Linked DNA regions of Drosophila melanogaster. The protein of the gene in region 2 purifies or fractionates together with the protein of the main gene of each other region. This does not show direct contact. Each region holds a gene or a part of one and is shown on either strand. Other genes may lie near its edges.

Evidence for each region. The genes of interacting proteins can lie anywhere in the genome.
Region 1: the proteins of AP-1mu (region 2) and AP-1gamma purify together in Drosophila melanogaster (affinity purification with western blotting, with the first as the bait; one study listed by BioGRID). This does not show direct contact.

The regions. Positions count from the first base shown.
Region 1 is NC_004354.4:9,106,706-9,111,704, reverse strand, and holds the start of AP-1gamma (adaptor protein complex 1, gamma subunit), read right to left. Parts: upstream 3,015-4,999; 5' UTR 2,775-3,014; coding exon 2,719-2,774; intron 2,156-2,718; exon of another isoform or gene 1,718-2,155; intron 1,088-1,717; exon of another isoform or gene 717-1,087; coding exon of another isoform or gene 700-716; intron 624-699; coding exon 562-623; intron 319-561; coding exon 177-318; intron 108-176; coding exon 1-107. Other genes in the region: Arfrp1 (ADP-ribosylation factor related protein 1), read right to left, coding at 3,773-4,029, 4,148-4,400, 4,468-4,560.
Region 2 is NT_033777.3:9,557,158-9,561,062, forward strand, and holds AP-1mu (adaptor protein complex 1, mu subunit), read right to left. Parts: upstream 2,369-3,905; 5' UTR 2,093-2,368; coding exon 1,271-2,092; intron 1,212-1,270; coding exon 753-1,211; 3' UTR 555-752; downstream 1-554. Other genes in the region: BckdhA (branched chain keto acid dehydrogenase E1 subunit alpha), read left to right, coding at 1-279; MBD-like (Methyl-CpG binding domain protein-like), read left to right, coding at 2,684-2,874, 3,115-3,456, 3,766-3,905.

The sequences.
Region 1 (4,999 bases), on a different chromosome or scaffold from region 2:
TGTCTGTGAACCGCGTGCTGGCCGTCAGCTTAAGGCACTCCAGTTGGCCAAAGTGAGCCGGATAGCCGAGCATGTGTATGTACAGCAGCTTGGCAATGTTGCGACAGCTGTGGGCGAATATATATATATATATAGTATATACATATGTATATTGCAACCGGGTGTAGATGACTCACCGCCAGACGGAGTCCTCCTCGCGGAACGTGCTCCGTATGTAGGCGCACTCTTTGTTGACCACCGCCCGCTCCTCGGCGGCGGTTCTGGCGGCGCGAATCTGTCGGATGAGGTCGCGCAGGCGTGTGGGCGTAGGCATTCTGACTGTGGGCGAGAAGTGGATGTGAATATGTTAATTAATCGGGTTTTTGTCTGTCTGGCCGCTGATCTTTCTCTCTTAACCCCTGCCTGTATCCTTCGTTTCAGGTCATTAATAGAACTATAACTATATATCTGAATGAATAAGGAGTGCAGCGTACTTGTAGCCACCTTTTGGGTGATCACAAGCACACGATCATCTTCTTATTGGAGCAATCTACCAAGTGGTGTTCACTGTCTTGGACTTACCTCTCTCCACCGCCTCTGTGAATGCTTGCCGTATGGTGGCCATATTGAAGGCTGGATTAAATCTGCCGGAGGAAGAGGTTAAATGGGTTTATATGGGCATAATTCTAGGGATGTTTGCACTGCTGTTTAGGATCCTACCCATGCTCGGAGTTCATTGTGGCGACGAGAAACGTTGAATCACTTGTGTGGCAGCCTTTTTTTTGCTCCTTCTTTTACTGGTTCGTATTTTTATTTATATTTTTGTTATTATTATTATATTCTATTACGTCTGGTTTTGTTAACTATTTGCCGGCTTATGTGCTCTTCTGTTTTCTTTTTGTTGCTGTTGCGGCGGGGCAACAACACAAATTAGCGAAACGAAATAACGGTTTTTCCTCTGCAGATCTTCCGCGCACACACACCTGCACTCCCACACAAACGCACACACACGCGCGCACACACACACACAGGGAATAACAGCCGGCCGCTATTTTGTTGCACTTGCTCTCCTACTCTCTATCCTTCTCTCGCTTGCTCTCTTTCCAAGCTAATGGAATTGGAAAAAATAAGCTGAATAGTTTAAATAAAAGCAGGTACAATTACCGCTGACATAAAGTAGATCGCTGTTGTTATGAAACTGACATCTCAGATGCGTGCATGGGTGTGGGTGTGTGTGAGTTGGCTCAAACAAATACGTTTGATCTCTCTTTCTGGCCAAGGCAACAACAAATTACTGTGCTTTATTCACTTTAGTTTGGAGCGCAATGCAAATTGATTAAATGATTAATGCACACACACGCACACACATTAATAGAGACATTCATACGCGCGCAAAGGGTTTCCAATTGGAAAAGGAGAAGCAGTAAGCCCGAAAAATCCAACTTGTTTACTGATGTCCACTTAATATTTTATTAAGTGAACTGGGCAAAAAACGAAAACAGCTGCCAGCGATAGCATAACTGACATACATACATACATATCGATTGCATTAAAAAGTCATGAAATAACGTCACTCCTATATACCCTATAGTATATATTTAACACGTAGGGTTTTTTTCTTGCGAGCTTTCCTCGTTTGTTTTCAATGTGATTTTTCGCCTGCTAATTTATGCGATTCGCTGGAAGGCCTACACACACTTGCTCACGCACACACACACATATATACACTCATGCATGCCTTTTGGGCCAACAAGAAAAGGGCAGGAAAATCTATGGCACACTTTTCAACGGGCATTTCCGTTTTAACAAATTGGATGCATTCGCGCACTTGGCGGCGTTACGTTTTTTTTGTTAATGAATAATCAGGAAACACGTTAGCTTTTTTCAACTATAAAATTTAACAACGCGACAAAAACTAAAAAAAAAATTTCAACACACACGGCCCGTCGTCGCAAGTACACGCACACACCTTCGCTTTTAACTGGAATGATTCTGCAATTGAATAAATGCCTATTCTAGCACTGCATTTACGCTTTAGCACATGTTCGCTGGGCCAACTTGGCGCTGGTTAATCGCTATTTTAAACGCCACAAAATCAACGTAACAAGTAAAAAAAAATGTTTCGTCGAGAATATGTTGATGATGAGCGCAACAGTGGTAGTGGGTGCGAGCGAGAGCGCGATATTTACAAGCAGTGTGCGCAAAAGGCATTAACGCCTCGCGCTGATAGGCGTTAGCGCATTTGATGGCACAGTGGGTAGGTATTCAATGATTTATCAACCAAACAAATAGTTATACGGAAAATATCAAGACTGAGGCATAAATCATTACAAATTAATTGTGTTTATCTGAGAGATAAGTAACAGTTTGAGTTTAATATTCGTTCAGTTAATTTGATTGCCTTATCAAAGTAAAAGATGCACTTAATTATATTTCCATGGCATTGCATTCGAACCGCAACAACTCACATGGAATGCCAGTAGAGAAGGGGCAGTTTTACCAAAATAAAAGAGATAATAGGGGGACAATAAATTGCATTTACACAGGGTGATTCAACGATTTTCTTTTGCCACACCACAGCACAAATAAAAAAAAAATACCGCTATGCAGAGCGGTCAATGGACGGTCACACTGCGATAACGTCATTTTTGAAAAACACTTTCAAAAGTCTCATTTTCTAAAGATCGACTGGCGAATCTTTAAGGGTATGAACGAGCACCGGGCGGGATTTCATCTCACCTGCGATTGTTCTCCGGCGGCAGAACGCTCCAGTCCTGCTCGTAATACGGATACATGGTGGCTTCTCACTGGAGCACGGAACTAAACCGAATGGAATGGGAGCGGGAGCGCGTTCGGGTATGGGAATGGCAGCGATAAGCGGCGAGTGCTTCACATAGGCCTTATCTAATGTACACTAATAATTAACAGGTAACGCTCTTCTTTTCTCTAGCTCTGGCTCGAGGTCTAGCTATCTAGCCCTTGCTGGCGGCCGATCATTTCCAGTCCGAGCGGTGGAAACTCCTGCGGAAGACTGACGATTCCAGTGCCACTCACCAGGTGTTGTTTTTAGTTCATTTTCATTTTCCTCCGCCTTTGCTTTTTGGTGGCACACACAGCACTTATCTATCGGACTGATAATGGTAATAATAATGCTCCCCCCGCCGTGAGAACACCACAATCCCGTCTGTTTGCTGGTTGTTTCTTTCCGCGGTTCGGTGTCGTTCGGTTCGGATAAGCGGAGCCCCATTGACAACCGCCATATCGAGGTGTACTACGAGTGCAGTGCTGTTAGATAAAGAAGCGACTCTCCCGATTTTGGTGGACCTCGAATCGCCCACACACTTTGTGGCTAACGATTAACCATAACAGCTGCGAATGGATTCAGTTTTATTACATTTTTGGCATCCAAATACCCATGTATCTGGGTTATTAACAGAACAAAGTACTTCTTCAAATACATCTTCAAGTACTTCTGAATTTATAGTTCTTGCACTTAATTGGCTAATAAGCATTGCGTTCTTTGTTATTCTAACAATAGTATTTGTAATTCGTTGTCCTATGCAGAAGTCTCACAGCTTTCTAACATTGTTTTCCTCATTTTCTCAGCAGTAGTTAACCGAAAAGAAAGGTCTTTGCAAATAATGACAACGCATCTTTACAATTGGTATCTCGCAATCTCGTCTGGCTAATTACAAATAAGCGTTATCCTAAGCCCCTAACTTACAAAAGTACATGTCTAATTAAAGCCAGTGGAGGGCCGACTACCAGGCCCAGATGTCTTCTGCTTGATCTTCTAATCGTTTTCCCGCGGCGGCCGCACCACCGCATGTCGTTTGATGGCCTCCACCAGCCACTTAATGCCCTCGTCCACGCCCTCGCCGTGCAGCGCGGATACGGGAATGGTGAGGCAATCTCGCCGCCCGATTAAAGCACCCGCCTGCTGGAAAACTGGCTTGATCTCCCGCACGCCCATCACATCCGGCAGATCCTGTTTGTTGGCCAGGATTAGCAAAGGCACTCCGGACAGCAGTTCGTTCTTGATCATCTTGTCTGTGGGGAAAGAGAATAACACATTTTAGGTGAACCTTTTTCCTTTTACCAGAGATCATCAGAATAGATCAAAACGAGTTTTGTTCAAGGGATTAGTTCGAAGACTGTTTTCGCTTACCAAATATCGCTTTGGACTCTTCCATGCGCTCCCTGTCGTTGGAATCAATCACGTAGATGACGCCATGCGACTCCTGGTAGTACTTATCCCAGAGAGATTGCAGCTCCTGCTGGCCACCAAGATCCCAGAAGTTGAGGCGTACGCCCTGCACGTCGATGGTGCCGATGTTGAGGCCCACCGTCGTCGTGATCTTGCTCGGATTGAGGCCCTTATAGTTACGCGTAAACGTGGTCTTGGCGGCCTCCAGGTAAGTCTACGTGGGCACAGGTGTTAGTTTCCGATTGGACATGAGGCTTTCATTGGATGATTCAGCTGCCTACCGTTTTGCCAGCATTGTCCAGGCCCAGGATTACCACGCAGTAGTCGTCCTTCTGAGTCATGTATTTGTAGAAGCCGTGCATCAATGTGTACATTGTATTGTGTTTTTGGCCAACAAAAACAAAAACTTAAATTGTTGACTGAACTGCTAGCGATGGCACTGCCAGCGGCTAGGGCGATGCGATAGTATCGATCGGGCAAGTGTCACTTATATCTATCTAATTATTAGGGGGATGTCTATAAATTATATTTTTAAGTATTGCACAGTTCTGTTAAGGTAATAAAAATAAATTATTCAAATTTTCTCTGATTGCCCCTGATTTTTATAAACCATATTGTAGTATTTTGATAAGAACATTCGAAATAATGGTCCAAATATGGAATGTCATACCTCGTTAAGCTCGTAATAAAATTTCAAATCAAACTGTGTTCAAAAATGCAAATTCAATTTTTTGACCATTTTTTGCAAATTTTGATGATGTTTGATGACCATTACCAATCCACTACCGATTCGCGTTCAAATTTGGAAAAAGC
Region 2 (3,905 bases):
TGGAACTCGGTGGAGCACCCAATATCCAAGCTTAAGCGCTACATGGTGCACAAAGGCTGGTTTGACGAGACTGTCGAAAACGAATATGTCAAGGACATAAGGAAAAAGGTTTTGAAGCAGATCGCAGTGTCCGAGAAGAAACTCAAGCCCAACTGGCGTGAGATGTTCGAAGGCGTCTACGCGGAGATGCCGGATCATTTGATTGAGCAGCGTAGCGAGCTGGAAAAACATATCGAGGCCCACAAGGAGCACTATCCCTTGAAGGACTTTGAGAAATAGATTCCAGATAGGTGCCATAAAGATGCTAACAAATCAGAAATCAAAACGAACCGAGAGACTCGATCGAAAGTGCATTTATTATGATTAAGCAATAGGCAAACAGTTTTTTGTGGGTTCAACCCGTTTGTTATGACTCATCTGTACAGGTGGGTCGGTGGATATGTGAAATTAGACACTTTGGGTTTTTGGGTTTTCTCTGACCAACGAAGAGGATAAACTTGGTTGCATCCTAGGTCTTAATTTGCACATACAAAGTGACCCACTCTGGTGCAGGTGTTATGAAAAGGTGTTAAAATTTATTAAATTTGATTTACATACAATATACATATACTGAAACAATACGAATACAAATATATACTTTTGACTTAACGCAACGCATCGCAGACAAAAACGCGGGTGGAGATGAAGCTACCTGTTGCAGGATGACTCGCTGAAGCTTGGCTGGAATGATGCAGGAACGGGAGTTGCCCCTTTCAATTGGTGCGTAGCTGATAGTCGCCGTTCTGCGTGATGTACCGCACCCATGGCAGCGCCTGATAGCCGCTCTTCTCGATGATCTTCAGATAGCGCACCTGGATGCCCGACGTGGTAAAGTAGGGAATCTCGAAGCGCACCTGAATTGGCGGCTTGCCCTCCGTATTGTCCTCGCTTTCCACGCTCGGCAGACCGAAATGTGCCCGCATTAGATACTCCTTGCCACCCGGGAACGATTTGATCGTCCAGATGATTGCGTTCTGCTCCGGTGCGTACTTGCAGCTTCCAATGGTGGTCTTGAACTTGGGTGAGTCCGCGTCGGCGGGCACTGGTATGACGATTTCCACGTTGTTGGCCGTCGATCTTCGCTTGAACTGAGACTTCGCCTTAATCATGTACTCCACACGGGAGTGGGCATGCCGCTCGATCACTGATTCGATCCAAATCAGGGGTTTGACCTGTCAACAGGGGTTTAGTTAGTCTTGCATTTTGGTGCTAAGTACATAAAAATACTCACATGCGTGTTCAGACGATAGGACATCAGTTCGAACTCGCCGTCCGGAGGAATGAACGAGATTGTCCGGTCATTCTCGAAGCGTGACAACCGCACGCACTGGTGGAACTTGACGTCCTCCAGCTCTACGGACTTTGACTTGCCGCGGCCCGTGCTCTCGAACAGAACCTTGTCGTTGAGACCCAGTCGCAGCTCTGGCATTCCCGACAAGTAGACGCGCATCTTAATGGCGCCCACGATCTCGCTGCGCAGCACATTGCCATTGGCGTTTGCGAGAAGATTCACCGACTCGATAACGTCCAGGAACACCTCGTTCTTGCGATACTTAATGCCCTCGGACCGCCAGGATACTGCATTGGTCACGGCCACCGGGATGCGGGGCTGTAGCTCCAGCTTATGACCCTCCTGCGTAATGTATTCCTGTAGAATTTTCGAGTCGGTGGTCTGCGGGTAGCCAAAGTCGAGCAATTCATCCAGCAGCTCGTAGATGATCACGAAATTGTCCCGAATGGACTCCTCCTCCAGCTCCTTGAAGTATTCCACAAAGACCTGCGCGATCTTGTGCAGAAAGACGAAGACCAGAGCGATATTAACGTTCTTATTGCGCGGCGTCGTGGATACGATATAAAGATTGTTCGTTTTGATGTAGGCAAATGTAGTCTCCGCCGTCTGAAGGATCGGAGTGATTAGGCCCTCCTCCTCGCGCTCCATCAGCAATGGCATGAATTTGTCGATCACGGCCATGTCGATGTTGTCACCGCGGTAGTTCCGCGATATCAGCACCTTGCCCTTCACGTCCAGAACGAAAATGGCCGACGAAGACATGTCTCTTGGTTCCCAGCAGCTGCCACTTGTCCCAGGTGTAAAATTCCCAATTGGATCGAGTGGGAGGTCGCTTCGATGGTTCTACTGCTCGCGGCAGGCGTTGCGCGTGGAAGTTGGCAACTGTCGCGAGGTGGCGATGAGTGGGCTAGGTCTATCAATGGGCTGGATTTACATATTCCGTTTCGTAGACTGGAAAATGCGAATGAAAACTCCGGAATTTCTTACGTCGCCTTTTCTGCTGCTTCTTTTTCTTATTAGTTGGCCCACCAGTGCTGTGAAATGTTCACATCAGGTGTTGGGCAGTGTGGCCAGGTGAGATTGGTCTACTGCTGATTAACTAGCGAATTAAGCTTAAAGGAAATGAAAAATGTGCAAGGTGTAACATCTTAAGGTTTCTGTTTTTAAATAAATACCTTTTAAATTATTTTCATTTTCCCATTGGTACCTTTAAATTCAAATCATAAATATATTGGAGAATGTAATCTAGCATCACTATTGTGCCATCCGGCATTTGTGGCCATCCGCAGTACGGCCACACTGCTAGCCCAGACGCTGCTTTTGTGGAATTGTTAATTATTTATTTCGGCGAGCATGCAAATGAACCCGAGCGTCACAATCGAGCGCAAACGCGTCGACTGCAGTGTCCTGCCAAAGGGATGGCAGCGCGACGAGGTCCGAAAGTCCGGCAGCAGCGCCAATAACAACGCCAGCAGCAACAACAACAGCAGTGCCACAGCCAGCAGCAACAACAACAATAACAAGGTGGATGTTTTCTACTACAGGTAAAGAAGAAGAGCAGAATTACTATATAGACTACTATATACCTAAAATCGGAACACTGCACGCTGTTTAATCGGATAAACGTTTATAATCACTTTCACTACCTTTCTGTTATTACATCCGCATAACCACACACACACACACCATATACACCACACACACGCATACGCCTATGTATACACACGCACACGAACTACCACCTAACCCACCAAAAATATCCATCCACCGCCGTGTCTGTTCAGCAGTCCCACAGGAAAAAGGGCGGAGGGAAAGCCACAGGACATTGCAATCCCTGATTTCCAGCCTGGCAAAATGCCGCACTGCGCCCTGCCCTCGCCCTCCATTTCGCTGTACCGCTGCAGCGCCATGCCGCTGCCTATAGCAAGCGGGGGCGGTAATGGGGCCACCAGCGGATCGGCGGCCAATGCCCTCAAGCGCAAGTTCGCCCGGAGTCAAGGAGGCAATGCTGCAGGAGCAGCAGGAGCTGCTCCTCCGGCAGCGACCGCCTCGTCAGCAGCAACAGCGACAGCAGCATCTGCTTCACCATCAACGGCCAATCGCCAGCAGCAACAGATCGAACTCAGGTAGAGCCAAGTGGATGAGCACTTGACTCTTGCATGTCAGCGTGTCATGTCTTGTTTGCCAGGACGCAAGGTCTACAGCCTGCGGCAATTAAAAAGCATCAAATGAAAAAATACCCAAAGAAACACACAATTGGCAAAACAATTCGTAGTTGTCTTCAAAAACGCTGTAGCTCTGTGCCACCTGAGATTTATGTTCCACCATCTCTGCATGCTAAAGCTTTACTTTACGCTTTGTCTAATGTGCTGTTCGGTGTTTTAGCTTTTTGAAGGCGTTTCTCTAATACATTTCCAATCTTTAATCCCTTACAGCCGAGCCCTGCGCACTGATGTCTCCCTGGTGCCTCCCATTCGACAGACTGCCTCGATCTTCAAGCAACCGGTGACGGTGATTCGCAACCATAAACAGGATCCCGCCAAAGCGAAGAATGAACCCAAGCATGGCACTCGGG